4 linked regions of the Callithrix jacchus genome follow. The protein of the gene in region 3 interacts with the protein of the main gene of each other region in a biochemical or structural test. Links are inferred from orthologs where the notes say so. Each region holds a gene or a part of one and is shown on either strand. Other genes may lie near its edges. The genes, in order: OTUD1, TNFAIP3, RIPK1 and BIRC3.

Region 1 (7,688 bases), on a different chromosome or scaffold from region 3:
ACATGAGCACTGAACATCATGGTAAAGTGCTAATGATTCTCAAAATGTAAAACTTGGAAAAAATTTGTAAAAGTTTAACTTTCTTTTAGGAAGAGAAAAAGCATGTAAGATAAACTTGAACAGAGTAATAAAATTATCTCCAGATTTTTTTTTTCAAGGCTGAGTGTGGTGATTCACACCTGTAATTCCAACACTTTGGGAGTCTGAGGTGGGAGGATCACCTGAGGAGTTCAAGACCAGCCTGGGCAACACAGGGAAACCACCATCTCTATGAAAAATAAAAAATTAGCTGAGCATGGTAGTACACACCTAGAGTCCCAGCTACTCAGTAGCCAAGGATAACTTGAGCCCAGAGGCAGAAGCTGCAGTGAGCCATGATTGTGCCATTGCACTCCAGCCTGGGGGACAAGACAACACAGTCTCAAAAACATAAACAAAATTTAATAATTAAATTAAATTTAAAAACAGGACTGGGCATGGTGACTTATGCCTGTAATCACAATACTCTGGGAGGCTGAGGCAAGAGGATCACTTAAGCTCAGGAATTTGAGACCAGCCTGGGTAACATAGTGAGACCTCATCTCTACTAAAAATCAAAAAAATTAGCTGGATGTGATGGTGCATGCCTATTGTAGTCCCAGCTACTCAGGAGGCTGCAGTGGGATAATCACTTGAGCCCTGAGGTTGAGGCTGCAGTGAGCCATGACCGTGCCACTGCACTCCAGCCTGGGTGACAGAGGCAGACCCTATTTTAAGAAAAAAAACAAAAAAGAAAAAGAAACAAGGACTTGGAATCCTAATTTGAAAATGACAGAACACACAGGAACCCATCAAAACAGTAATAGGCTTACAGAATGCTTTTAGAAATTTTTGTGTATTCTACTTATTCTTCTATAAATTTTAAGTACCTCCAAATTTAATACAGCTCTAAATAAAGTGGAGAAAAGGAGTAGCCAAGTAATTCAAATAACAGAATTCCTTTCTTTCCAAATTAGTGATACCACAAAGCAAAACTTACCTACACAAAAATCCAGAGATCTGTGATTAGCAAACATTTAAACCTTTGACGAATTCTTTCCTTGATATTCAATGGCATCCTTCCAAACACGTGGTTAACCAATGAACTCAAGTTCAGTTGTGTCTATGACTGTGATATCTAAACGACCAACTGAAAAGTAAAATATCCAAAACAGCTGCTTTTATTCTGCAGTAAACATACCCCAACATTATGCACAGGGGCGCGCCAACTTAGCCCACGCGTGCTGCTGCGACAAAATACCTGTAATTTATAAAGAACAGAAATTTCTCACAGTCTGGAGGCTGGAAGTCCAAGATCAAGGCGCTGGCAGATTCCACATCAGGTAAAGGTCCCTTCCTCACAGATGACACTATCTAGATGTCCTCCTGTGGCAGAACAGCAAAACAGTAAAATGGGCCTAAGCTAGTTTCTTCCAGCCCTTTTTATAAAAGGCACTAATTCATTCACAAAGGCAGAGTGCTCATGACTTGAATCACTTCCCCAAAAGCGCAACCTCTTCCAATCATTTCCCCAAGACCCCAAATTCAACACACTAATTTGAGGTGGCTGAACACACGTATTTAAACGACGCCCTTCTCAACATCTTAAAACAGATTCCCATGGTCTCAAGAGGCCAGACTAGACAAAAATGAGTGCATCTCTTTGGTTACTCTTTTATCCGTTAAAATCTATACTGAGAGTGGAATACAAAAATATGACATTTAATTAGACATGCTGCTGGCTGACACAAAACTTGCACTTCCTTTTTCATTAGCCAATAGGTACAGCTAGAATTGTAAACAGGAATTATAATTAGAAATAATGAGAGCAATTTCTTGGATTACTCCACCTTTAAATTATATTTTATTCAGACTCATCCTTTGAAATTACTCATGATTAGCCTGTCCTCTTCATGTGAGAATTTAGGAAACTTCTCTATTGCTGTGGCATCTTTATGGAAAAAAAGAACTGTGTATATGCACATGTGTAAGAAAGTTTCCTTCAAGAATCAGAATTTAAAAAACACTATCCATGAAAGCACTGTAAAAGTATAATTTTGCATTTTATTCATTCATTCCATCAGCTGGGAATTGCTCTATTGTACAAATACAGTTTTGTACAAAAAAATCACAAAATGTTACAAAATAAAAAAGTACAAACTGCATTACTTAATAAATATGACTAAAAGTAGTTAAAGTGGCAATGAGATAGATTTTAAGTGGGAAACATTGTTTGACCCAGCAAACCACACAAGCTCTGTTTACAGACATTTCTAAGTTAATACAGGGCAATCCTTTTTTGCCTTTTGAAAGAATGTAAAAGAAATACTAAGACAGTGTTCTCCTGCTATAACTGCCAAGGTTGGCTCCAGACATTTATGACATTAGTTTATAAATCTCTTAGCTGGATCCAAGAAGTTATATAAAGCAGGAGGCTTATCTTGTCACAAAATTTTATACCAAGTTAGATTCTCTTATAACAAAGTGACAAATGTAAATAAAACTGAGAGCACCAGACAATTTACACATTAACCAGGGTACAGAATAATCACTCTGTCATCGGCAAATATCAGACTTTCATTCAAGTAAGACCTGGTACTATCCCTTAAAAGAAGAAAAAAAACCTTCCCACAACCTTCTGTTAAGTATTTCTCTTTAAAAGATTCACCATTTCTAGAAAAATAATTATTTCCAACAGAACAGATTTGTTTCATCAAAATGGAATGGGCCAAACACTTGGTAACAAGAATACATCAATATCCATCTGAAATAATTATCTAAGAATTGTGAAAATCAAATTTCAACAACGTAAGAACTACCAAATCACAAACTCTGTTCAAAATAATACATTTCATATAAAGCACTTCTCTGGATTTATGCTTGAAAGCTGTCAAAATGGGACACGTCATAGATGAAGGTACACCAGTTTTTAAAAATGTTGTGCAAAAATACATTTTTATAGAAAATAGACTACCAGGAATGAACAAATTTACACTGTGAGAAAACAGCTTGCAAATTAAGTAGTGCTCACTTTATACAGCAAATTATAAATAGCAGTAAAATCACCCTAAGCTATCATGAAACATCATTTGGGTGCCCAGCAACCTTCAGCTCTGAGAAAACATTCAAAAAGATGATTAAGGCATTACACCTACAGTAAAATCTACTAGGAAGTTTGAAAGTGCTATTACCCTGATTAGAGTTCACGTGATTCTCCAAACACAAGTTATGTATGCAATTTTCCCAGGGTGTTAAGGTTTTGAGACACTTCAAGAGCATGCGTTTTGTTCAATATACATTTTAGACAGGGATATGGCCATAGATTTGGCAAGTTCTTCATCGCGTTTCCTCTGCACTTGAGTTTGTTTGCACCAGTTGTCGTACTCTGGGTTAGGATAGGAGTGATCAAATACAGCATCATAGTGTCCGTTACTGAGCCAACTGAGCCAAATACTGGGCCTCAGGGAATCCTCTGGGCCCAAATAATGAATCATGGTAGACACCGTGGGGCTCTCCAGCCTCCCTCCAGTAGTTAAGTGGATATTCACATTCAGCATCTGCCCCATGGCCAGCAACTCGGGGTACCCAGCCCATGCCCCGTCTTGGGCAGCAGCGATGAGAAACTCCCCTACGTCGCCCTCAATCAGGGGGTTGAAGTGGTCGAGATGGTCGGCGATGTAGTGCACGGTCTGCTCCCTCAGCTCTCGGTGCAGGCTCTGGTCGCCGTACACAGTCTTGCTGACAGCTCGGTACAGGCAGTTGCCGTCGGGAATGATGTGGAATCGATACTTATTTCTCTGCCGCAGGTATTTATCCTGCTTCTCCACCTCGGCCAGGTACAGGGCCAGCTTCTCGTCTCTGGGATCCGACCTGGGGACAACCACCGGCTCCACCGCGCTGCTCGGGGCAGCCTCGCTGCTCCGGCCGGGAGACACCTCGGCCTCCGGGTCGGGCCTCCGAGCCGCGTTCCCGCCAGGCGCGTCGCAGCGGTCGCCGCCCCTCTCCCAGGCCCGGGGGCCCCTCTCCGCCAGGTGCTCCTCGCCCCACGGACCGGGGCCGGCGTCGGGACTCCCCGGGGTGGGCGCGAGGCCTCGATGCTTGGCAGCGGCCAGGGCCTGGCAGTGCTCGCTCAGTCGGAAGTTCCGATCGGGCCCCTCCCGGGCCGCCTCCAAGCCCGTCTCGGGGCAGTCGGGCCGCAGCAGCTCCTCCAGGAGCCAGGCGGAAGAGCCCCGTCGCGGCGGGATGGGGGCTGCGGGCGCCGGGGCCAGCAGGAGGCAGCGGCCGCGCGGGGCGGCCGCAGAGCCCGCGGCGCCGGGAGCGGGCTCGGGCCCGTGCAGCAGGAGCCTGTCGGCGCCCAGGGCCCGCACGGTGATCTGCGCGGTGGAAGTGTAGTGCGGCGGCAGTGGCGGCTTGCAGGACGCGCTGGGCGGGCCGGCGGCTGCGGATCCGGGCGCGGTGGCCCCGGACACCACTTCGAAGCAAGAGGAGAAGGCAGGCATCTTGGCGGCGGGGACAGCGGCGGCTTCCCGGGGCTCTGTGGCCGCGGCGGGCTGGCACTCACCGGTCTCGGGCTCGGCGCCGGCGGTTCCCGGGGGCTGCAGCGAGACCTTGAAGGGGGCGGCGGCGGTGGCTGCAGGCGGCGCGGGGGCTGCGGCCGTGGGACCCGGGGCCCCGGCGGGGTAGTGGGTGCAGACGCTGCTGTAGAGCTGCATGTCCCTGCCCGCCGCTCGGCCCCTTATAGGCGCGGCGAGCCCCCGAGCGGGGGACACACCCTCCGGGCCCGGGGGAGGGGGCCGGCGGAGCGCGGTGACCAAACGGCCCCAGAATAGAGATGAGCGCCCGGTCGCCGGCCGCCGCGCGTCAGCAGCCGCGAATAGCTCCCGGGTCCCGGCCAAATTCCTGCTGCGCCACAGCGTGGGGGGAGGGCGGGGACGGGACGCGCGCTCGACCCCTGCCGGTGCGCTCGGCCTGCAGACCCTGGGCGCCTTGCCCGCTGCAGTTGCTGCGGCGGCCGCAGGGGACTCTCGGAAGAAGCTACCCACCCCGCTAGAGCGCGTCTCGCCGACAAGGAGGAGCGCGGGGCGCGCGGAGGCCCGGGAGGCGGGGCCGCGGTTGTTTACCTCAGGCCTCGCGGCCGCGTCACATGACCCCGCTGGAATGCGCGACTCGTCCGGGCGCCCGATTCAGCAGCACCGACTCGCCCCACCCACTCCGGCCCGCGCCCCGCCTCCTGTCCCGCTCCGCTGTGCCCCGCCGACGTCACGGGCGTAGTCCCCCGCGCGCGCGCGCGCACTCGCGCGCGGGCGGGGCGGAGCCGGGGGCGCTGAGGCTCAGGGGCCTGCGCAGTCTTGAGATTTCTGGCTGGGCCTCCCGCCCACGTGACTCCCGCGGACCGTTTTCCCCACCTGGGGACGGGTTTCTAAGCTGCGCCGCTCTCTGCGGTGGCTGCAGTGGATGCTGCGGGATGGGCGCTGCTTGGGGCGAGCTAGCATGCTTGGAAAGCTTGTGTGGCAGGAAAGCTTCCGGGCTGGGTGTGGAGGACGGAATGCTGCCTTAAAGCCTGTTTGGCCTCCCCATGGTATTGGGCTACCATACCTGCTTGCGTTCACCACTGCTTCTTTTCTTTTTTTCTTTATTTTTTTTAGAGATGAGGGTCCCTTCTGTCGCCCAGGCTGTAGTGCAGTGGCTCAGTCAGAGCCCACTGCACCCTTGACCTCCCGTGGCTCAAGCGATCTTCCAGCCTCAGCCTCCAGAGTAGCTGGAAACCACAGGCGTGCACCACCTCACCCAGCTAATTTTTTTTTTAAGGCGAGGGCCTCACTTCAGTTGCCCAGTCTGGTATGGAACTCCTGGCCTTAAGCTGTTTCCCGCCTCAACCTCCCAAAGTGTTAGGATTGATTACAGGCCCAAGCCACCACGCCTGGCACTACCACATCTTTTACCTTTTTTTTTCTTTTTGAGGCAAGGTCTTGCTTAGCCATCTAGGCTGAATGCAGTGACGCCATCATGCCTCGACCTCCAGGGTCCAAGCGATCCCCCTTCCTCAGCCTTGCCTTGGGTAGGGATTACAGGTGCCCAGCTAGTTTCACCACTGCGTCTTTTGTAGGCGCTTCCTTGGACTCACCTGTTAAGAGTGAGTCCTCTAGTGGATCCTCCTGCCCTGCTAAGACAAAACAAACTTTTCTGCACCTCTGACCTATGCCACCTGGTAAATATCTGACTTAGGCGAAAGCAAGGAAGCCTTTCATAAACAGCCGTTCTCAGAATACCAAAAGCATTATCACTTAGGGCCTTTTGAAAATAGGTACAATTGCTAGCCAGAGGTCAAAAGCAGTGGAGAAAGTCGTGACCTGCATTCTAGGGCAAGACAAACTAAAGAAAATGCTTCTACCGAGTCTTTTTGTAATGCCTGCCTTTGTAAGGGAGAGCCAGAGGTGGTGGGAGACTTTTGCTCTGTTCTGAGCTTTGATCAAATGCTAAATTTAACAGACCCAACACATTAAAATTGAACCTAGAGGTTGTCCTAAGATTTTAGAGATAGGGAACCTGGACCTGTAGGTGATGTAAGCTGTACTCCTGCCCCCACCTTTCCAGTGGAATGTGAATTCCTTGAATTGAGAGACTTGGTCTTGCTCTTTGTATTTCCATCCTCTAACACAGTGCCTGGCACATAATTAGACTTAATTCATATCTACTAAGTGAATGAGTAGATGGAAAGCCAGTTCTAAAGATGTCTCAGACAGTGGCAAAGCCAAGATTTCTATCCAGGTCCCTTGACGCTAGCCAGGCCTTTTACTTATCTTTGGGCAGTATGACTGGCAGGATCCCGGCTCAGGTCACTTCAGCTGTTTAGGTAAATTAACTCAGAAGAAGGTAAATGACTGTCTTAACTTCTGAAATTCTGGTAACTACCCCATTGGGAGCTTGAAGCTCTCGTGGCTAATTAGAAAAAGGAAATTACTATACTTGGATTTCATCACTGATTTGCTGGGCATCTATTGCTCTGCGCATGAAGCACTTCACACTGAACTCTTTCAGTAGCTGGTGTTCTGAAACAGAAGACGAGACTGTTAACAAGGCCATCCTCAAATAGTATTTACCATACCCACTGTGCGCCTAGCAGGGCTAGCATAACTGGAGCCTGAAGGGAGATAGGAAAATATTAGAATTTAAATCCTAAAGCAAGAACAGGTTTCAACAGGTTGGGGTAAATGCAGGAAAAAAACAAAAACAACAAACACAAGGTCAACGAAAGACACACTACCTGTGATGTACCCAGTTAGCAAAGGACAAAAGCAAAGAGATGAAGATTCAAAACAAACATAGGAAGGCATTTAAAAAAATCTTTTTAGTTTGTCTGGGGCAGTGGACTATGCAAGACTGCATACTGGCGGTAGGAATCCGTGTTCACTCTGTATCTCAATGTGGAAAGGCTTCCTGGAGGAGGTGATCCTATAGGAAACCTTCTAAAGCAGACATGATGTCAACTTTGAAACTGCCCTTGGAAGCTAAGAGAAGACAAAGCCTTGCAGGTGATAGCAAAGAGATTAAGGAGGCAAATCTGATTTCTCATGAGTTCACATAATTATCTATAATGTAATTATGTAATTAAAATTAATATGCATGAAAAATCATTACATGATCAGAACGATTGAAGAGTATAAGTTTTA
Region 2 (7,168 bases), about 120 Mb from region 3:
TCCAAACTTGTGACTGAGGATGGTGAGGCATGTGTTGTAATGTTATTGGCTGGCTCAGCAAAGCTAAGGGCAATCAAACTGAAAAACAACAAAACACCAATGGAAAAGGCCATGAGCAGAAGACCTGCTGCTAGAGGGAACAGATCCACAGCTGGGAATCTGCTAACCAAAAGCAGTGGCAAAAGCCTTGGGTTAGTCCCATAGGTTTCTGGTGTTTTCCATTGAGTATGCTTCACTTAGGCAAATTCATATGACCTGGGCCATTAGATGCTACCAGAGGGCAGGGACTCACCCAGGGGTACCCTATGCCCACCATGGAGTTCTGTCAATAGATAATTAGGGGGCAATACATACCCGAGTGTCATAGCAAAGCCCCGTTTCCACAAATTCCTGAGATTTGAGAGACTCCAGTTGCCAGCGGAATTTAAAGTTGCGTGTGTCTGTTTCCTTGAGCGTGCTGAACAGCGCCTTCCTCAGTACCAAGTCTGTGTCCTGAACACCCCACATGTACTGAGAAGTGGCATGCATGAGGCAATTGCCATCACCTGAGGACAGAAAGGAGGAGAAGAGAAGGAAAATCAAGTTATCTGCATTTAAGGTCCAGCAAAGGTTTTCAGAATAAACCAGCCCTGCTACTGTGCTAGGTCATTGAGTGGTTTAATTTCCTAGTCAAGTACAAATTGGTATTTCACAAGATAATGACAGCTTTAAGGAAAAAACAGTTCTTTTCATTTTTCTTTTTAATGAATGACACCAACAGCAAAGGAGCCAGGGGACCTTGGTTCTAGCTTAACTCTGCTCCTAACTCATTTAGGTGACCTGGGGGAAATTCCTTAGGTTCTCTGGGCATTTTTCCTCTTTGTGAAATGAGGGCACTGAGTGATGATCTCTAAAGCCCCATCCCTTTCTACTATCCCCTGATTTGCTGGTGAAGGCACTGGCATTGCTGCTCTCTAATCCTAAGGAAGATCACACAGAGCAACATGCACAAACCAGGAAGCGGGCATGGCTTGCTAGACTGGGATGGTATGGCTATGACTCAATGGCAAATGACTTGACCATTCCCCTTTAGCCTTTGGGCCCTGGGAGTTTCCTCTCCTGGTGTGTAAAGTGAGGTTGGCAACACTGAATTACCTATGGCCTGCCAGTCCAGCTCTCAAAAACGCGTTATGCAAACCTGCTTGTTAGTAACTGTAAAGTACAAAAGTTAAAAAGCACCTGGGTGTCTACATTTGAAAATAATTCAGTATTTAGGGCTGACATTTTGAGAAAGAAAAAAAGCAGGTTGAATTGTATGCCATTCATTTGTGACCCTTCCAGTTTAAAACTCACAATTCAATGGGCTGCATTTTTTTCAACCTCCAAACAATAAATCTTTTGGGGAAACGTTTAAAACAAAAAAGTTAACTCCTTGGTATCTTTTGGCAAATACAAAATAATCTTTATAAAGAAAAGTTAAACTGTTTCTCATATTACTCTATAAGTAGGGCAATAATGCTATTTGAAATGTTATCAAATTATAATTACAGTCAAACTATAAAGAGACCAATAAAACCCTCAAATATGTATCCACAGCCAGTATTCCTTCAAGTTACACATTTAGAAAAACTAGCTAAGTAAGTATTCAAACAAATGGACAAAAAAGATCGCCCAAGCCTTGTGCCTTGGCAGACGTGTAGCAATGATTGCATTCTGTTGAAATTTCCCCTTTGCAAAATCTAGAGCAAAGATAAGGCTTTTTTTCTTCTTCTTGTGCTTACTTTCAGTTCTTTATTGAGATGCACCAGTATAAAATTCCCTAAGTAACATCTGGAATTCCCCAGTGCTAAGTTATTTGACTAGCAATTGAGCAACAGCTATTGTACTTTTTGTTCTGGTGTGTAGACATTTAAACTGCGAGGTGCACCCTGGACTTTCCAAGTGGGTGTGGTCAGGGTGAGCTGGAATAGGGCTACTCATTATACAAGTGAAATCGCTGCAGCCAATAGACGCTGGAATTTTTCACATGAAGTTTCAATTTTATGCCACCTACTCCCTTCCTCATTCACCACAGTCTCATATCCTCAAATGCAAACTTGTGAATCACCCCCTCCCCAGATATTGCCTTTGAATAACCCTCCTATCAACGGAAAGATTATTATTATTTTTTTAAAAGGTGCTAATCAAAATCAAAGAAAAAAAAGTCATTTGTATTCCTCCCTCCCGATATCCTTTCTTCCACATTTAGACTCTTAAGGAGTTTTCTAGAAAGTGAAGAAACAAAAGGATTCTGAGTCTAAAAATGATTTCCCAAAAAACGTTACCAAAATGCACCTGGCTTTTGTAGTTTTATTTGTAGTGTGACTCCTTGTTGATTTCAATGACATGTTTGCAAAATAAGTGTTTCCTATTTATAGTCCCTTTTTTTTTCCTAGTGGAAATCGAGCATTTCCTATCTTAAGGAAACAAGGCAAAAAGTCAGTTAATTTTCTTAATAAGGTTTCCCCCTTCCTACCACATTTTTAATTCAGCAGAATCTTTCTTTCCAACTCCCCCAAAGTTTACTCTATCTCTTTTTAGTAACAAAATGGGAGAGGATTAAAACCACAAATTGTCAGGCACATAAACCCCATGATGACTTTACATAATTACCTACCTCTATGTATCACTTAATTTAATGCCAAGAATAATGCAGACAGTAGCTATCCCTAGTTTTCTTTCTACCTATGTTTCTAAGAATCAGTGTTTCATAAATCTAGGCAAGCTGTTGAAGCAATGTACAAGACCCCCCAGAATCAAAATTTAAAAACCCACATCCACCAATCACTCTAAGTTACCCAAGTCAAAAAAAGCCAAAGTTAATGTACCAATTAAGTTAATTAAGTCAGTGTTCTTATCGTAATCATTGTCAACAATGATTTTCTGCTCTTGGACATCTTACTTTTATTAGGATGGTTTGGGACTGTCACAGATTTAAGTATCTGAGATTCCTGGTCTTATGTAGTCTATGAGCATTTAATTGATCTTGTACAGTCCACTTGCTTATTGTAATAATTATCCACATCCATAGAGTAGAATTTTGTGCCTGCATGAAACTGTATGCAACAGACACTCCTGTTGATGCACAGATTCTTATCCAAGGGAAATGATTAAAAAATAAAGCAGTAAAGCTTGGAATAGGAAATAGCTACTCCTGGTAAAGGCCATTGGCAGAACAGCACAGGCAGGAAGGATTTCAGTGACTAGGAACCTCTAAAAATAATGAAGGTGAAGTCTAAAACTCATGCTAAAAATCTCAGCATCGATCTATTTCACACTGCAGGGCATAGGCAGTAGAACCAGGTCAGAGAGGAGGAGGAGACAAAAGAAATTCCTCATGTCTTCAACAGCCATTCACTGGTTAACCCATAAAATGCTACCAATTCGAGAGGCATAAGAACATCACACGCATTTTCTAATGACAGTGGGAAACAAACGTACTACCAGTTTTCACACCATGCTTTTCTTTTGAACTTAAGGCTATTAACATTTCCATTACGAGCCAGTGAAGGGTATTTTACAGATGATTAAACATTTGCAAGCATTAGAAACAAATCACCTAATTGGAGTATTAAAAACGCATTCTCCAAGCCTCAATGTGCTCTGCAATATACACAATCAGAAAATATCCTTAATAAATAGATTCACAAAACAAGTCAGCTCTTATCACATGTCCCGTATAGAGTTTCTACACTAAAGTGTCTACTAAATCTCAAGAGATTTGAGTTTGGGCTTGTGCTATTAAAGCTCCATGAATGGGGACCCAGCAAGCAGAAGCTATCACCCAGGCAAAAGAAGCACAACAGAGCAAGTCTTACCATTCGTTTTCAGCGCTACAAGCTTCCTGACTTCCCGACACCAGTTGAGTTTCTTCTGGCTTTCCAGGGAAGCCTGGATGTTTCTGTCGATGAGGGCTTTGTGGATGATCTCCCGAAATTGAGGACAAAACTGGCAAGTTCTGAACATTTCCAGTGTGTATCGGTGCATGGTTTTAAAATGATGAATGATCCCATTCGTAGGTTTAAAAATATCTTCTGGAGTTCTCTCCCGTATCTTCACAGCTTTCCGCATGTTGCTCAAATACAAAGCCTGAGGAAGGACTTGTTCGGCCATTGTGCTCTCCAGCACCTGAAAAGGAAAGAAAAAAAAACAGCCATTCCATTAGCCTGACTTTGATATGACTCCTATATACCTGTCTGCAGGAAACCCCAGTGTTTGATCTTGTCATTACCCTGATCTGTAGGCAAAAGATCTTAGCACCTCTACTCCCGGGATACTAGCTGGCCCAGAGATTAACTCACACTGGGCTGTTTTAAGTTACATCACTTTAAAAGATTAGTCTAAATAAGGGACGGAAGGCAGAGAGTGGGTACTGAGGAGGAGGGGAATAACCTGTGTTTTCAGTAACGTTTGTCAGGGAGCCAACCCTGTCTGTCAGCAACAGGTACTGCTCCTCAAAATCAACTGAAGCTCCTGTTTCATTCTGAGACCACGCTGAACAGCGCTGGATTTGGGGAGTACCGGATGCCAGTTAAGGGCTCAATGTAGCCCCGACAAGTCTATAGCTCCTTCCCTTCAGACCACCACCAAGCAATCCTGCCCTTGGGCAAACTCTTGAGTAATCACTCCCTCCCTATGCTGGTAAACTATTTTATGAAAAATCTTGCAATTTTATGCTGTCATTTAGGCTCCTGGTTGGTGTTTCCTCTTTAGCCCCAAAGAGAAGTATTTCAGTGTTTATTCATAAAGTTTATTCTGATGTTTATAAAGAGTTAAAGCGGAATGTTTTCTAATCAACAACAAAAAAACCACTTCCAGCAAGATGCACTGCAATTTTAAGAGCAGTCAACATTCCTTCAGAACCTTCCCACCAGACTTCATATCAGAATAAGAAACAGACTAATAATAGGCTGGGCACGGTGGCTCATGCCTATAACCTGGCACTTTGGGAGGTCGAGGTGGGAGGATCACTTGGGCTCAGGAGTTTGAGAATAGACTGGGCAACATATTGAGACCTAGGTCTCTACAAAAACAAAAAATGAAAAACCACAAAATAATAACAGAACAATAAATTCTGTACTTCCAAGAACAGATATTGAAGCTCAATCATTTCAACTCAACTGCCAATAAAATTCTGTCATCACCTTCCAGGTCCTAACACAGATGCATGTCTGCCCAGTTTTTCACCCTGAAATCTTTAAGCATAAGCAACTAGCAGAAGGAATGAAAGTCTAGAAGCAGACAAGGAAGGAAGTTTCCACCAGGAGGCCACTCCAGCAAATGAAGGAGGAAAGGGGCAAAGACCAGCATCTACAACCCATGCCAACAGCTCAGAATGATGTGAATTAACATAATGTGGGATTTCTCCAGTACGGAACCGCGTGGAGAGCCAGCTCTGGTTCGCTAGCCCTTTGTAGGGTGCCTGGCCACACTTCCTAATTTCCAAGACGATGAAGATGTTTTCAGAGCACAAAGACATTCTCTAGGAAATTTCACAGAGATTATTAATTCCACTCCTGCAGCAACCTATTTGTCAGGGCAACTCTCCAGTTGATAAAATGTTAAACCTATGGAAGAGGGAGGAGAAGAAACCTAGATTTTAGGGTAGCTACTCCTGGGTGGGTCTAGGCTCTCTTAACACCATTGATAAGGTGGTCTAAATTCTTGTGGCCCACTCAAAGGAGAGAGGTTGGACTTAGATGACCCATGGTTTCTCCTGAGGAGTTTTCTGGTGATAGTTTTAGATTGGGATTCTTAATCTGATTGCTGGGAAAGGCATAGGGGGAGTCATTCTCCAGATCAGATGGTGTTTTCCTTTGATATCAGCCATCCACTACAGGTGAAATTGGGCAAAATCATAGCAGAACAAAAAATAACACATATACCTTTCCTTTGTGGCACAGCAAAAGTCTCTTTCACAATATTGTCCATCCATCAGTCTGTCCATCCATTCCCCCCACCCACCCACCCATGCACCCATCCACCCATCCACCCAACAAGCCCTACCTGACCACCTAATGAAGGCCAACACCATCCTTGATGAGGGACTAAAAGTCAAAGATGGCCTTATTTCCTTGAAACCACACTACCACCTTAGTGTGCAGCTAAGGCAATGGAGTTACAGGTACTGCTTAGATCCCACAGCCATTCAAGGGCAAAGTTTAGCCTAGCAGCCAGGTCTTTCAACATCTGCCCCTTGCAATCCCACAACACCAAAGCTGCGGCTACAGTGCCTGCCACAATCAGATGGAAAGAGATGGGCAGGAGAAAGATTTTAAACAAAAGAGGTGCTATCTCTTTTTGCTTGTCTGACTCTTATTTTTCTCTTCCAAATCTAAAGATTTTTCACCAAAGATCTAAAATAGTGAGGGCTGTAAACCATAGGCAAGATATGCAAATGTCAATACTGGACACCCCAGTGAGCTCGCATTGGTAGGTTTAGCCTTGCACAGCCTGTAAAGTTGAAATCAAATCCTTAGAAATCAAAACCCACTGCCCAAGTTTCCAGTTCTTGGACTTCTCCACACTTAAGATTAAAGAACAAATGTTTCAGATACATTTTAAAGTGTCAAACAATGCAATATTACCCTTAACTTTTTTTTTTTTTAACATTTGTTACTTCGCTGTCTTATTTAAAGGTAATTTCTCAACTTCTGTCACTAGGATCAATGGGATTCTAAAGAAATTCTCCATTCCTCAAACTCTTCTCCTCGTTTTATTTTTCTACTATGGGGGGACATTTTTGTTCGTGTTGTGGAAATTGATGAATTATTTATCAACAAATACCTCATCCAAATTTGGGGAAGTGCCTCTCCAAAAAAAATAAAAAATAGTACAAAGAATTGAAAAAAAAATCAAAGCAGCATCTTAAACAATGAGAATGAGGCATTCATTGGCTGCTCAATAATCTGGTACATTAAGGTTGCGAGTCCAGAAGCCCCTTTAATTAGTGATGATTCTGCCAAAATGCTGCTCTGAGACACTTGACCAGACGGGCTTTCCAAGGAAAGAAGATCTAAGGCGAACAGAACTGAAAACAAAGCGGGCTCGAAAAGAGTTAAGCTCCTTCCTTACTTAATGCCACTGCTTTCCTGAGAGGCCAGGTGGCAGGAAGTGGGACGACCCCAGCTGACAAAGACAGTCTGACTGT
Region 3 (6,688 bases):
TCCCAAAGATGATTCTGCCAAGTACTGAGCTAGTAAATGAACACACTGAGTTTCTCCCTGCAAATTTAAATCATTCTTCTGCTTGCTTTTGTTATCATCAAAAAGTCCTAACTCTGGGCCAGGCACAGTGGCTCACAGCTGTAATCCCAGAATTTTGGGAGGCCGAGGCAGGCAGATCACCTGAGGTCAGGAGTTCAAGACCAGCCTGGCCAACATGGTGAAACCCCGTCTCTACCAAAAATATGAAAATTAGCTGGGTGTGGTGCCACGCACCTGTAATCCCAGCTACTAGGGAGGCTGAGGCAGGAGAATCACTTGAACCCAGGAGGTGGAGGTTGCAGCGAGCTGAGATCACGCTACTGCACTTCAGCCTGGGTGACAAGAGTGAAACTCCATCTCAAAAAAAAAAAAAAAAAGTCCTAACTCTGTACCAAATGTGGGTTTTCTAATTCGCCATCCCATAGAAGGAAGGTATGTGTATACAGTAAATACAAAAGGAAAATAAATGTCTTACTTTCAGTGAAAGAGCTCCTAGATCCATTCCTTTTTATTCACTGTGCTGCTAAGAGTGAGATCAGAGAAGGAAAGCTCACTGGGCTAAGAGTCAGGAAACCCAACTCTAGCCCTGCTTGTGCCAGTCACTACCTGGGTGACTTTGGGAAAGTCGTTTGCCTCTCCAGAGTTCATTCTTCTCAATTATAAATGAAACTGTTACAACTGAAAATTTATATATAGTAAGCTCTAGTATGTTTCTAATATTGAATTAGTTTATCCATTTCATAACTTTCATGATTTTTCCAGTGGCCGGATTTGGGCAGAAAGCACTGACTCAGAAACACAAGTTTCCAAGTAGAGGGGTGCAGGATAAACCTCCATGCATGTCTGTGGTGAGCGCAGACCGTGAGGGACAAACACGGTGTCAGTATAAGTTGGAGGTGGTGGGCTAGGAAGATGAAACAGGGTACTTGGCACTGTGCCTGACAATGCACAGAATAAGTGCTCAGTAAATGGTAGCTGCTGTAATTAGCACTGTTATTATCATTGTTAACAACGAACACTTAGCCTTGAGTGCTGGAAGGCACCTCAGAGATGGTCACAGGGGCTCCTTGCTAGGATTCCAAGGACCCCAGTTTCAGCAGCTTCACGAACACCTAGAATTGCACACAGATGCCATGTGTGTGCATATGCTACATTTCTTACACCTTTCAGTAGAGAGGGTCCCTAGTTTCCTTGGCTTCCTCAGAGAAAATGCAATAAATGAGCATGGCATCTGGTCCAGAGGGCAGCCTACCTTAGGGCCAGGTGTGTTGACAGAGGTACCTAGAGCTGAATTTCATTTCCCTCCCTCCTCAGAACTGTCTTCTCCACCACCTTCTCTCTCCTACAAAGATATGCTAAGTGTTCGTTAGAGACAGTACCTAACGAGCTGTCTGACACTTGACAAATTCAGCTCAGCATGAATGTCATTGAGCCCATGCCTCAGGCTAGCGAGCATAAGGTATACAACAAAAAGTGGATATGGTTGCTACCTTTCAGGACTCACATGCTAGTGGAGAAGTCAAACAGACCTAGCTCGGATGCAGAGCGGCCCAGGGCAGTGTCCTGAGTCTAGGATTATAGTGAAGGCTCATGGAAGGAGGTAGAATCTGTGCTGGGCCTGTGTCAGAAACTCACAAGTAGGGAGAAACATGTGGGGAGGTCAACAGTCCAGGCAGAGGCAGGAGCATCATGTCAGCAGATGAGTGGGAAATCTGGTGGGACTGGAGTCTGGTGTGGAGGGAGACAGGAGACAGTGAAAGGAAGATCAGAGAGAAAGGGCAGAGCAGAGCTGTGGCTAGCTCTGAAGACGGAACCTGAGAGGTATGAGTTCATCAGGTAGAGGAGGAGGACCCTTCACAGATATTGTTGAGAGTCGTGGGATCCTGTAAGTGTGGCTGAGCTTTGCTGTGCTGTCTTCCACCTCTGTTTTCTGACGGTGTTAGCCACATTTTTTTAATGGTAAAATTCAAAAACATAAAATTGACCATTTTAACCATTTTTACAGTGGCATTACTTACATTCACATTGTTATGCAACCATCACCGCCATCCATCTACATAACTGTTTTAATGTTGCAAAACTAAAACTCAATCCATTAAACACCAACTCCTCAGTTCCCCTCCCAGCCTCTGACAACCACGTGGGGAGGTCCTTCTGTCTTTAATTTTTTTGAAGAACCACAATACTCTTTTTCTTCTGCTTCAGATGGTATCTTGCTCTGTCTCCCAGGCTGGAGTGCAGTGGCACGATCTCAGCTCATTGCAACCTCCGCCTCCTGGGTTCAAGTGATTCTCCTGACTCAGCCTCCCAAGTAGCTGGGATTACAGGCTCCCGCCACCATGCCCGACGAATTTTTTTTAGAGACAGCGTTTCACCATGTTGGCCAGGCTGGTCTCAAACTCCTGACCTCAAGTGATCCACCTGCCTTGGCCTCCCAAAGTTCTGGGATTACAGGCGTGAGCTACCGCACCTGGCCAATGATACTCTTTATAGCAGGGCCTGCACCATTTTACATCCCCACCAGCAGTGTGTGAGGGCTCCATTCTTCCACGTCTTTGTCTATGTGTGTTAATTCTTTTTTTTTTTTTTTTTTTTTTTTGAGACGGAATTTCACTCTTGTTACCCAGGCTGGAGTGCAATGGCGCAATCTCGGCTCACCGCAACCTCCGCCTCCCGGGTTCAGGCAGTTCTCCTGCCTCAGCCTCCTGAGTAGCTGGGATTACAGGCACGCGCCACCATGCTGACCAGGATGGTCTCGATCTCTTGACCTCGTGATCCACCCACCTTGGCCTCCCAAAGTGCTGGGATTACAGGCTTGAGCCACCGTGCCCGGCCCTTTTTTTTTTTTTTTTTTGAATTGTAGACATCCTAATGGGTACGAGGTGGTTTAGTCACATTTTAAAGAAGAAAGTTTAAAGGATGGCATAGGATAGTTAACCCAATGTTTGGAGTAAAGCCAGGCTTTTTTGCAGTGCTATATTTTTTCTCTTGCTTTTGATCTAGAAGTACTTACCTGTGTGTTTCTCTCTATTCAGAGGAATCTATAAAATGTACCATACACAACAGTAGCGGTGTTCAGATTGGAGCCTACAATTATATGGAGGTTGGTGGGATGAGTTCATCACTATCAGACAGCATAAATATGAACTTTAAAGAAGAGCCAGCTTCTAAGTACCAAGATATCTTTGGTAAGATACCCTTGAAGGACCCAATGTCTATCAACCTTGAACTTTCTTGTGAGAAGGATGTAGTGGAATCTTGAAATTTCTCTGATAATTCTTCCTGAAAGTTTTCTCATGTTACTTCTGCAAAATAACTTTGTGATTTCTGTGTAATTTCTTTGTGATTTATTTATTTTTAATATGGAGATAATAACAGTATTTAATTCATGGCTTTGTTGTGAAAATTAAATGAGTTGATATGTATGAAAGCTTAGAACGCTCCCTGACACATAGTAGGGTCTATAAAAAGTGTTAAACTTTCATCATTATCATCAGTATTACTGCTCAGACCTGGAAGAAATAGCTGTGTCAGGCCCTCATCAAAGGAGATCCTGTAAAAGAGAGAAGACTGTGCCCTCCACAGCACTTCTGCAATAAAATCAAGAGGGCTGTCTCTTACAGGGTCCTACTGTGCAGGACCATAATGCTAATCTCGAGGTACAGTCTGGAAAAAGCAGTCATGAGGCCAAAACAACTTGATTAAGAACTCAGCTTTCTAATTAACAACAGGATTGTCTTTTTGTTCCTGTAAAGGAACCGATAGTAAATGTTAGGCATTGCTGGCTTTGAGGTCTCTCTTGGAACTACTCAACTCTGTTACCGTAGTACAAAAGCAACCATAGACAATACGTACATGAATGAACATTGCTGTGTCCCAATAAAACTTTATTTACAAATGGTGGCAAGGAGCCAGATTTGGCCCACAGGCTATAGTTGGCCAACCCCTGGTCTAACACATTTGAAGAACAGCTTTTAAAATACCTAGAACAGAGGTTCTTAACTTTTGATTAGCCAAGGACACCCTTGAGATTGTAATGAAACCTAGGATCTGTCCCATAAAGAAATACTGACAAAATTTGCCAAATATTTTGGGAAGTTTTTGGACTGCTGACAATCTAGCGGTGGCAACACAGGCCACATTATGGAGGGCTGAGGAAAGAAAGGAGGTTGAAAGGAAGAATGAGATGTTTTCTCCCTTACATTCTGTTTATTGAGGTAGAGTGGGGATTAGGGAATATGTTTGTTGTGGTTGTTTTACATTTTTATTTGTTTCCTTTTATTATTTTTATGAAGGGCTAAGAGAAGAACTAGTAGGAGAGAGGTTATGGCTATCGGAGAAGAGGCAATGGCAGTCGGGGGGTGGGGGGCAGGGAGAAGGGTTCAAAAACAGACCTTTCATCGTGTGAAAGACAAGGAAGGCATTGTAACTGAATGGGTTCACACCTGCTGGACAGTTTCCTTGATTAAGAGGAAAGTGAACTGTTGGGCAGGGGTGATGGTCAGGAGGTAAGTGGCTTTAACTCTGGCCAGATGTAAGTGAAAAATGTCCAAAAGGAACAAAAATGGTGGGTTTTTCCTTTACATCCAGGAAAGTCTAACACAAACAGGGTCACCGGCTAAGATTGAATAGAACACCCAGCCTTGTAGCCACATAGGGGTTTTGTTCACAGAGCCATCAGCTGTGGCTCAGAGATGTGTCTGCTAGGAGGAAGGAATGCCTTATTCTTTTGTTTTGCTTTTGAGACAGCATCCTGCTCTGTGGCCCAGGCTGGAGTACAGTGACACAGTCATGGCTCACTGCAGCCTTGAACACCTGGGCTCAAGTGATCCTCCTGTCTCAGCCTCCTAACTGAGACTACAGGCATGTGCCACCATGCCCAGTTAATTTTTTTTTTTTGTAGAGACAGGGTCTTGCTATGTTGCCAAAGCTGGTCTAGAACTCCTGGGTTCAAGTGATCCTCCTTCCTTAGCCTCCCAAAGTGTTGGGATTATAGACATGACCCACTACGCCAGGACAGGAATGCCCTATTCTAAGTCACACAAAGACTCCATGTGGGCTAGCAGGGATATAAAATGTCCACCAAGGTGTCAACAGCTATATAATTAAGACGTTATCTTTTTCACTGTCTCCTGCTACTCTTCACCTCACTTGGGGTTTTTTTTAGCAATTCAGGAAGCTGGAATGTTTGAATGGGTTTTATTTAGCTTGATACCTTCTTCTCTTTCCCATTTGGCAGATAATACCACTAGTCTGACTGATAAACACCTGGACCCAATCAGGGAAAATCTGGGAAAGCAATGGAAAAACTGTGCCCGTAAACTGGGCTTCACACAATCTCAGATTGATGAAATTGACCATGACTATGAGCGAGATGGACTAAAAGAAAAGGTTTACCAGATGCTTCAAAAGTGGCTGATGAGGGAAGGCATTAAGGGGGCCACAGTGGGGAAGCTGGCCCAGGCACTCCACCAGTGTTCCAGGATTGACCTTCTGAACCACTTGGTCTACATCAGCCAGAACTAACCCTGGATGGGCTATGGCAGCTCAAGCGACTCCTCACTTAGTGAATTGCTGGAGACCCCAAGGATGTGAGGCGTGACCAACTCAGTATACCTCTGGAGGCTATATTAGTAAACAGCAAACTGTCCTCATGAAACCAGGATGTCAGCTGCCAGACAGAAAGTTGAGGGCAGTTGCGCCCCAGGTCCTGTGCTCCTTGAGGCTATCTGTGCTCTACCTAAGTATCTGTAACCTGTTGAACAAAGGAAGCAGTACCTGTAATAAATCAAGTTCACCGCCTCCTCCCTATTCACTTAAATACGAAGGGCTGTAAAAGCTCAGGGCTTTGGTTCACTAGAAGCAAAGAGCCCCCTGACCCCTTCTTTCAAATAGAACCTTTTGTCTTTGTCTTCAGTACCTAAGTTGGCTGCCTCAGAGCATTCAGAATTGTCCTCACTGATAGGAGTTCTGTATCCACAGAAATATTGTTTCCTATATTTCATAGCTGGAGAATGGGGAAAGAAATCTGCAGCAAAATGGTCTCACTCTGTTGCCCAGACTGGTCCCAAACTCTTGGACTCAAGTGATCCTCCCACGTCGGCCTCCCAAAGTGCCATGAGCCATTGCGCCTGGCCAACAATCCGCTGTGAGGAAAGTGAAGCAGGAAGACCTCTTAATGGCATGGCACCAATCAAAATATGACTCCTAATCGGGTTTGGAAAGGAAGGGAAGAGATGTCTGAGGAAGATTCTTTTCTTTCAGCATATGCTGTCTTAGAGTTTTGTTGAGACAAGAAGAAAAACTCAGAGAACATAAAATCAGCTTTTAAAATTTTGTGCTGTGGTCTTCACAGAGGTTCTTGTTATAACCAAAGTGGAGTGAAACTCTAAGCCCTGCTCAAAGAGATTTGTTTGTATCACAACTGCAGCTCACTGCCAAATTACAGGGTCTGTAAATTACAGGGTCTGTTAATTACAGGGTCTGATACAGTATCAAATACTGTATCAGTCACTAGAGGCTCTAAGAATCACATGCAGTCTTCAATCCATTAAATTATCAATTATTTTTTAAATTAATTGAATTTATAGTCAATTAATTTTTAAATTAACTGAACAGATTTAAAGAGGTACTAAGGAGGGGGAAAAAT
Region 4 (7,676 bases), on a different chromosome or scaffold from region 3:
AAAGAGGAATTTTTTGTTTTGTTTTTTTGACACTTAGAGCTTTATGATCCTAGAGAAAAAAATAGATTTCAATTTATAATGTGTTTATTTCAGATATGTGACAGAGAGATCATAAAAGATGCCCAATATAAACATGTATTAACATTCTGTAGGGGAATTGGAATGTTCAATGACAAAAGGCAATGATAAAATATTTTCAGTTATTAAAGATGGCCTGATATTAATTACTTCATGAATGGTCATGTATTTCAAATGACTATGGTATTAGGATCTATCAAATACATTCAAAAGAGTGCTCTATCAATTTTTTCCCCAAAATATCTATGTTTACATTTTATAGATTCGTGACATGTACAAAAGCTTTTTTTTTAAAATTGTGCTTTAAGTTCTAGGGTACATATGCAGATCTTGCAGGATTGTTGCATAGGTACACTCATGCCATGGTGGTTTGCTGTTTCCATCCCCCTGTCACCTACATCAGGCATTTCTCCCAGTGTTATCCCTCCCCAATCTCCCTGCCTCCATCCCTCCCCTAGCCCCCAACCCCCCAACATACTCCGGTGTGTGATGTTCCCCTCCCTGTGTTCATGTGTTCTCATTGTTCAACACCCACCTATGAGTGAGAACATGCGGTGTTTGGTTTTCTGTTCTTGTGTCAGTTTGCTGAGAATGATGGTTTCCAGATTCATCCATGTCCCTACAAAGGACAGGAACTCATTGTTTTTTATGGCTGCATAGTATTCCATGGTGTATATGTGCCACATTTTCTTTGTCCAGTCTATCATTGATGGGCATTTGGGTTGGTTCCAGGTCTTTGCTATTGTAAACGGTGCCACAATGAACATACATGTGCAGGTGTCTTTATAATAGAATGATTTATAATCCTTTGGATATATACCCAGTAATGGAATTGCTGGGTCAAATGGAATTTCTATTTCTAGATGCTTGAGGAATCGCCACGCTGTCTTCCACAATGGTAAACTAATTTACACTCCCACCAATAGTGTAAAAGTGTTCCTATTTCTCCACATCCTCTCCAGCATCTGTTGTCTCCAGGTTTTTTTAATGATCACCATTCTAACTGGCTTGAGATGGTATCTCAATGTGGTTTTGATTTGCATTTCTTTAATGACCAGTAATGATGAGCATTTTTTCATATATTTGTTGGCCTCATATATGTCTTCTTTTGAGAAGTGTCTGTTCATGTCCTTCAACCACTTTTTTTTTGGAATGGGTTTTTTTGTTGTAAATCTGCAAAAGCTTTATGTTTTAATGTTAAGTTAAAAATGGGCAAGGGAATACAGAGCTTTTCAAAACTCTTCTGGTGAGTACATAATCGAAAAAGTGTAAGGCCCACAAATTATTTGCAATAATCTCAGGAGTGAGTTGAAAATGGCTTAGAAAGTCTTGAATGAAGCAGACTCAAATGTGGATTAAAATCTCCATGTGATAAATATACTTAGTATTCTGAAATAATTACAACTGGAACTTTAGCTGCTGTGGACAGCCAAGTCCACCTAAACCAGAAGATGCCTTGCTCAGTCCAAGTGTGTGCAGAATGCACTGGATGCCATTTCCACAGCATGTTGAAGTCCCAAAAATCCCAAATAATCTCTGCCTCTGGTTAGTAATCGTCTTTGATCTACTGGAAACCAGAAAATCAGATGAACTCACCCAATGCATCTGTTACCCTGGTAGGGACCACTCTCAGATGAAGTTGCTTAAATTTACTTCTTAGAAAACATTGAGGAAAATATGGCAGTGCAGTGTGACTCAAAGATGTCAGGTTTTCCTAAGAATGGCACTGCAACTCAGAAATCTGCCCTGCAAGAGGCTAAAAGGAGGGATTTTTTAAAATAGCATACTCCACCCTTATTAAAAAAAAAAACTCACCAAAACAAAACAAAGTATTTCACTACAGAAAATTAACAATTTCAATCTTTAAACTAGTAAAAAATAAACTGCAATAACTGCTTGATTTTTTTCCACATACCCCTGCATTTGCTTTCAACTGTTACTTTCTTGATCAGAACAAAAAGTAAAAATAAATAGAAAGATTTCACAAAGTTTCGATTTTTTTTAATGCTGGACTTTTGCATCTATGGTAGATTGAAAAACCTAACCTTTTTACGTGTAGTGTCTGGCGGATGGAGGGTGGGAACCAGGGCGCATTGACCTTTTCCAGGCAGTCTGAGCAATGATCGTCCTCTCTATATGGGTTATCAAGATTTTCTCTGACCCAAGAGCAATGAAGCAAATGTCTTTCAGTAAATGCAGCGCAGATATGCCACGGTAAAGAGTCATGTTTTTGGGTCATGGAAATCCCCGAGTGGATTTTCCAGGCCACTGAGTAAGAGGAAGTGTGTGTGTAGTTATTACCGCTGGAGTTCCCCTAATTTCTAAAAGAAAAGCCCATGCAAACCACTCGGGGGGGCGGTGCGGAAAGCCTAGTGCGGCTAGGGGTGGGGATTCGATGACGCATTTAAAAGGCAACGTGAGACTCGTGCCCTCCCGCACAGAGCAGGCCGGGCGACAGATGTCAGTTGAAAAGACTGGGCTCCTCCTTGCTGGTGCGTGCGTCGTCGGCCTCTGGACAGCAGGCGGGTGAGGAAGGAAGGCGAGTGTGAGTGTGAGTGTGTGTATGTGTGTGCGCGCGGGCGCGCAGCACCCTTGCGCCTCCCCAGGTGTAAGAGGTGCGCCGGCGGCTGGCCCAGGGGCGCTCAGGGCTAGAGACCAGGGCGCCGCACAGGTTGAGAATCAGAGGGTGGGGCGCAGTCATCAAACACGGCTCTAAGCCCAAAGTAGGCTCTAGATAGGTTCCAGGTGCTCAATTTCTGTTTTACGTTTGGAGTGAGCCAGTGGAATTGTGAAGCTTTGGCATTTTGATTTGGTTGCCGAGAGTTATCACTGGTTCTTTGCAGGTGCCAAATACATTTCAGGACAGAGCCTAACGCAGAGCTCTGGCACAGGAAGGACTCAGTAAAATGTTGAATGAACAATGGAGGCATGTTTCCAAGCGGTGGTAGGAAGACAGCAGTTTTTGTTTGTCTTCCTGGGGATCAGCATGGAAACCCAGCAGTGCTCTTACTCTGGTCAATACATTGTCGAAGGCATTTACCTGGTGCTAACATAAAATAATATTAAATACTGACTTTATTTGCTGTTATTTATTACTAACATTGAGTACTGCTACCTGCTATATGCTAGTTTTCTCTCTGAAGAGTTTACATGCATTTTTCACATTTATCATGATCGTAAGAAGCAGGTACCATATTTATCTTCATTTGACAATGAGGCAACTGAGACTCTTGGACATTTACTTGCCAAGGTCACACTTCTGGATACTGGACTGCTTGGTATGGGGCACCCCAGATGTCTGATTCCAAAGCCTGATATTAATCGATCATTGAACAGACTCTGTGGTCATTAATGTAAAATTGATAGAAGTGCTGTGGTCACTCAGGGTTCAGTCACATTTGCTAACATTTACTTCTTCAATGGGAAGTCTTAGTGTCTACCTATATGCCAAGCTCTGCAGATGCTGTAAGTGGGAGGGCAGGTACAGAGATGAAACATATTAATAGTTGCCATTCTAAAAGAGCTTACTGTCCAGGGGGAGGCAGAAAGAAAAGGCACACTTGCCCTCCAGTGTCAAAGAAATGAATGTGCCACGTGCCCAGCAGGGTATGGATGCCCAACAACCCTGGGATGGGGGAGGTTGCCCGCTTGGTAGGTTACATGGAAGAGTCAGGAGAGGAGAGGCTGGGGACTGAGCCAATCTGAGAAGGAACCCCTAGCAATGAAAGAGGAATTGCAAGAGCTTGGTGCCAGAGAAACCCAGGGAATGGGACATTTCTAAGAGGAAGTGTGCCCCAGTGTCAGATGTAAAAATTTCCACTGGTTTTGGCTAAGAAGCCATTGGTGTTATCAATACTGAGAGCAGTTTTGAGTGATGCTGATTTGATGAGTAAATGGCAGAGGGAAAATGAAAACATTAACCATACACACATGTTCAATTTGCTTGGTTGTGACGGGAAGGTGCAATACAGGGTAGTTGGTAGAATAGAAAGGGATTGAAAGAGGATTTTAAAAAGTGCTTTTATTTGAAAGTTGAGATAGGTTTAAGCATGAGTGTTACGTGGAAGGAAAAGGGCCAGTCAAGAGTGAGATGAAAGAGAGTTGAAGAAATGAGGGGGATGGGATTAAGAACAAGATTTCTGAGGCAGTAGGAGAGGGTAGGATCCCATAAGAGGCAAATCTTTGAGGCAGCAAGTAGGTTGTGAGCAAAAAAGGCTTAGATATGAGAATGTGAAAGAGTTCCTACTCAGTGATGTCTCTTTTCTTTGAGAAATAGAAGGCAAAGCAATTGACTGAAAATGAAGTGGAGTGTAGTGGAGAAATTTGAGGAAGGTGTTAAAGGTTTAAAAGAGGTGCACGGGGCAGTGTGCTAGGGAGCTGAGTGGGGCTAAAAGGAATTGCTAAAGGTTGGTGAAGGAGTCTGAAGTGATGCTGGTCCCAGTCTGCAGGGTTGCATCTAGGTGTTGGAAATGTTTAGGACAAGTGATCTAGGGTTGACATCTTGGCATATTTTTGTATTGTTATTGTATAGTTGTTTCTTAAATTTCCACAAATATATGCCTTGCTGGAGTGCAGTGGCCTGATCTCAGCTCGCTGCAACCTTTACCTCCCGGGTTCAAGTGATTCTTCTGCCTCAGCTTCCTGAGTAACTGGGACTACGAGTACGTGCCACCACGCCCGGCTATTTTTTTTTTTGTATATTTAGTAGAGATAGGGTTTCACCATGTTGGCAAAGCTGGTCTTGAGCTCCTGATCTCAAGTGATCTGCATGCCTTGACCTCCCAAAGTGCTGAGATTACAGGTGTCAGCCACTGCACCTGACCTAAATCTTCTTTAGGATAAGATTTGTGTAAGGGATTTGCAAACTCAAATGCAGGTGATATAAATGAGAAAACCTCTGAGTGTCTCTTTTTCTTTTTCTTTTCTTTTCTTTTTTTTTTTTTGAGACAGGGTCGTGCTCTGTCACCCAGGCTGTAATGCAATGATGCAGTCTCATACTCACTGTAACCTCCATCTCATGGGCTCAAGCGAACCTCCTGCCTCAGCCTCCCAAGTAGCTGGGACCACAGGCATGCACCACCATGTCTAGCTAATTTTTGAGTTTTTCTGTAGAGATGGAGTTTTGCCAAGTCACCCATTTTGAACAATCAAGCAATTCATCTACCTCAGCCTCCCTAAGTGCTGGGATTACAGGTGTGTGCCATGGCGTGAGGCCTTGTGGGTGTCTCTTTTAATAAACTTTCATATATTTTAAATGAAAGCATACTCTATTTACATATTTGACATGAAGGAATATTCTTCCTTTCTACAAAGACACATGGTTCTCCTATTTTTCTCAAAAGTTTGTCCTTCTTCCTCTACTTTTCATTTTTGTTACTTTTGATAGACACATGTGTTACACTGATTTCACTTTCCTCATAATTCTGTTGTAAGAAAAACAATAGTGCCAGTCCAATGACAAATAGCAACAGTCTGTTATTGCTAGACTGTTACTGTTAGCAGAGACTACCAGAACAGTCTCAGTATCAGGGAGTCAAAGATAACACGTTCCCTCTCTAAAGGGCACAGCTGCTGCTCAGCTCTAGATGATTGCTGCCCTGCAGAACTATAGGCACAGCATTGCTAGATATTTTGATTTTTCAAGAGAAGCTTGGAATCTAGAATGTGATGGGAAGTCTCTTACATTTAAAAATGTTGGCAAATAATGGTAAGATTTAAAAATACTGTGGTCCAAGAAAAAAATGTATTTGGAAACTGTATTAAATTCAAATAAGGCATGCAGATTAATCCACAGCATGGTACAGTGTGCATTTTCTGGTTTCTTTAATTGCACTATGATTATGTAAGGTGTTGGCTTTGGGGAAGCTAAGTGCAGAGTATGCAGAAACTATTATTTTTGTAAGTTTTCTCTATGTATAAATTTCAAAATAAAAACTTAAAAAATTAGTGAAGTACTATAATGCAATTTTATGTAAGCCAAACATGATATGTCTACCAGTTTGAGACCTCTGGTTTTTTGTTTTTGTTTTTTTGAGATGGAGTCTTGCTGTGTCACCCAGGCTGGATGGAGTGCAGTGGTGTGATCTCAGGTCATTGCAACCTCTACCTCCTGGTCTCAAGCGATTCCCCTGCCTTAGCTTTCTGAGTAGCTGGGAATACAGGTGCACGCCACCGCACCCAGCTAATATTTGTATTTTTAGTAGTGATGGGGTTTCACCATGTTGGCCAGGCTGGTCTTGAACTCCTGACTCCTGAACTCCTCAAGTGATCTGCCTGCCTTGGCCTCCCAAAGTGCTGGGATTACAGGCCTGAGCCACTGCACTAAACAGAGACCTCTGTTTTTTTGTTTTGCTTTTAATCTCTTTTTGGCCTTTACAGTGCCCAGTAGAGAACCTGATATATGGTAGACAATCGTAATTACTATTGCTCTACTTTGGAGAAGTTTTTTTTTTAAAAGATCATTGTGCTCCATCTATGAATTGTTTGACTTTTAAAACTGTCTTTTTGTTTGTTTGTTTTTGAACAGGTTTACAAAGGAGGAAAACTGCTTCTTCTAGATTTTTCTTTTCCATTTTCTTCTATAGATCAAAACATCTTAAGATGGAGACCTAAAATCCTAAAAGGGACTTAGTCTAATCTCGGGAGGTAGTTTTGTGCATGGGTAAACAAATTAAGTAGTTAACTGGTGTTTTACTATCCAAAAAATGCTAATTTATAAAGATGATCTAGTTATATAAGGTATAACTATAATGAGCTTGAGTTTGAATTTGATTTGTGGAAGTAAAGCAGAAGTGATTCTAGCTAGGTCATATGGTTAAAGCATTTTTTTTTTTAAAGAGTTGGCCAGGCAGTCTCCTACTAGCGTATTCTCACATTTTGTAGGATAGAAACGGTACCTGTGATTGGGAAAGATTTTAAAATGAGTTATTTAGAAGAAAGAGCTAATATTCAACCCACTGCAAAATTAAAGAAACATGCAAGTGAAAGCTTTGACATGTTACAATACATCTACAGTGACAAAGAAAAATCAAGAACAAAGCTTTTTGATAGATGCAACAAATTTAGAGGAAGTAAAAAGATAAATGTGATGATGGGTGAAGAAATTATCTAGTCATCTACAAGGCCATTGATATTTTAAAAATCCAAAACTTTGTTTAAATGGGCTGTTGTTACTGGGAGTGATGAGGATGAGAATGATGATTGAAGGTTACATTTTCAGAAATGAAGGAGCTTACTCAGAAAATTTATGTAAAGACAGTGATGAATGCAAAGAAGATTTTTATGACAATGTGTAAAGTTTTCAGTCATGGAAAGGAATATTGAAGTTAGGTACAATTACTTACCTTTGAGGGAAATAATCATTGGTAATGAGATGTGATGTCTCTCCTGCCACCTGGAAACAAAGCACTAAAGTCTTTTTTTTTTTGTTTCTGCAGTAGAAAACCCAGTATCTGTGAGATCCAGGAAACCATGCTTGCAAATTGCTGGTAAAAAAGTAAATAAAGAAAAAGCCACAATGACTTGCTTATTGGTCATTGCTAATATTATTGACTCAGAACCTCTTTACTAATGGCTAGTAACTCATAATTGAGAAATTC

Evidence for each region.
Region 1: of the proteins of RIPK1 (region 3) and OTUD1, one has a biochemical effect on the other in vitro, tested with the Homo sapiens proteins (2 studies listed by BioGRID). The link is inferred for Callithrix jacchus from reciprocal best matches to the Homo sapiens genes RIPK1 and OTUD1.
Region 2: of the proteins of RIPK1 (region 3) and TNFAIP3, one has a biochemical effect on the other in vitro, tested with the Homo sapiens proteins (2 studies listed by BioGRID). The link is inferred for Callithrix jacchus from reciprocal best matches to the Homo sapiens genes RIPK1 and TNFAIP3.
Region 4: of the proteins of RIPK1 (region 3) and BIRC3, one has a biochemical effect on the other in vitro, tested with the Homo sapiens proteins (5 studies listed by BioGRID, with this or other methods). The link is inferred for Callithrix jacchus from reciprocal best matches to the Homo sapiens genes RIPK1 and BIRC3.

What each region holds. Positions count from the first base shown.
Region 1 is NC_133508.1:23,882,325-23,890,012, reverse strand, and holds OTUD1 (OTU domain-containing protein 1), read right to left. Parts: upstream 5,114-7,688; 5' UTR 4,731-5,113; coding exon 3,288-4,730; 3' UTR 2,063-3,287; downstream 1-2,062. UniProt on the Homo sapiens protein: Deubiquitinating enzyme that specifically hydrolyzes 'Lys-63'-linked polyubiquitin to monoubiquitin.
Region 2 is NC_133505.1:144,646,550-144,653,717, reverse strand, and holds part of TNFAIP3 (tumor necrosis factor alpha-induced protein 3), read right to left. Parts: intron 4,323-7,168; exon of another isoform or gene 4,250-4,322; intron 4,147-4,249; coding exon 3,837-4,146; intron 546-3,836; coding exon 355-545; intron 1-354. UniProt on the Homo sapiens protein: Ubiquitin-editing enzyme that contains both ubiquitin ligase and deubiquitinase activities.
Region 3 is NC_133505.1:27,533,094-27,539,781, reverse strand, and holds part of RIPK1 (receptor-interacting serine/threonine-protein kinase 1), read left to right. Parts: intron 1-3,074; coding exon 3,075-3,227; intron 3,228-5,278; coding exon 5,279-5,565; 3' UTR 5,566-6,688. UniProt on the Homo sapiens protein: Serine-threonine kinase which is a key regulator of TNF-mediated apoptosis, necroptosis and inflammatory pathways.
Region 4 is NC_133511.1:37,313,119-37,320,794, reverse strand, and holds the start of BIRC3 (baculoviral IAP repeat-containing protein 3), read left to right. Parts: upstream 1-2,513; 5' UTR 2,514-2,570; exon of another isoform or gene 2,571-2,604; intron 2,605-6,604; 5' UTR 6,605-7,676. UniProt on the Homo sapiens protein: Multi-functional protein which regulates not only caspases and apoptosis, but also modulates inflammatory signaling and immunity, mitogenic kinase signaling and cell proliferation, as well as cell invasion and metastasis.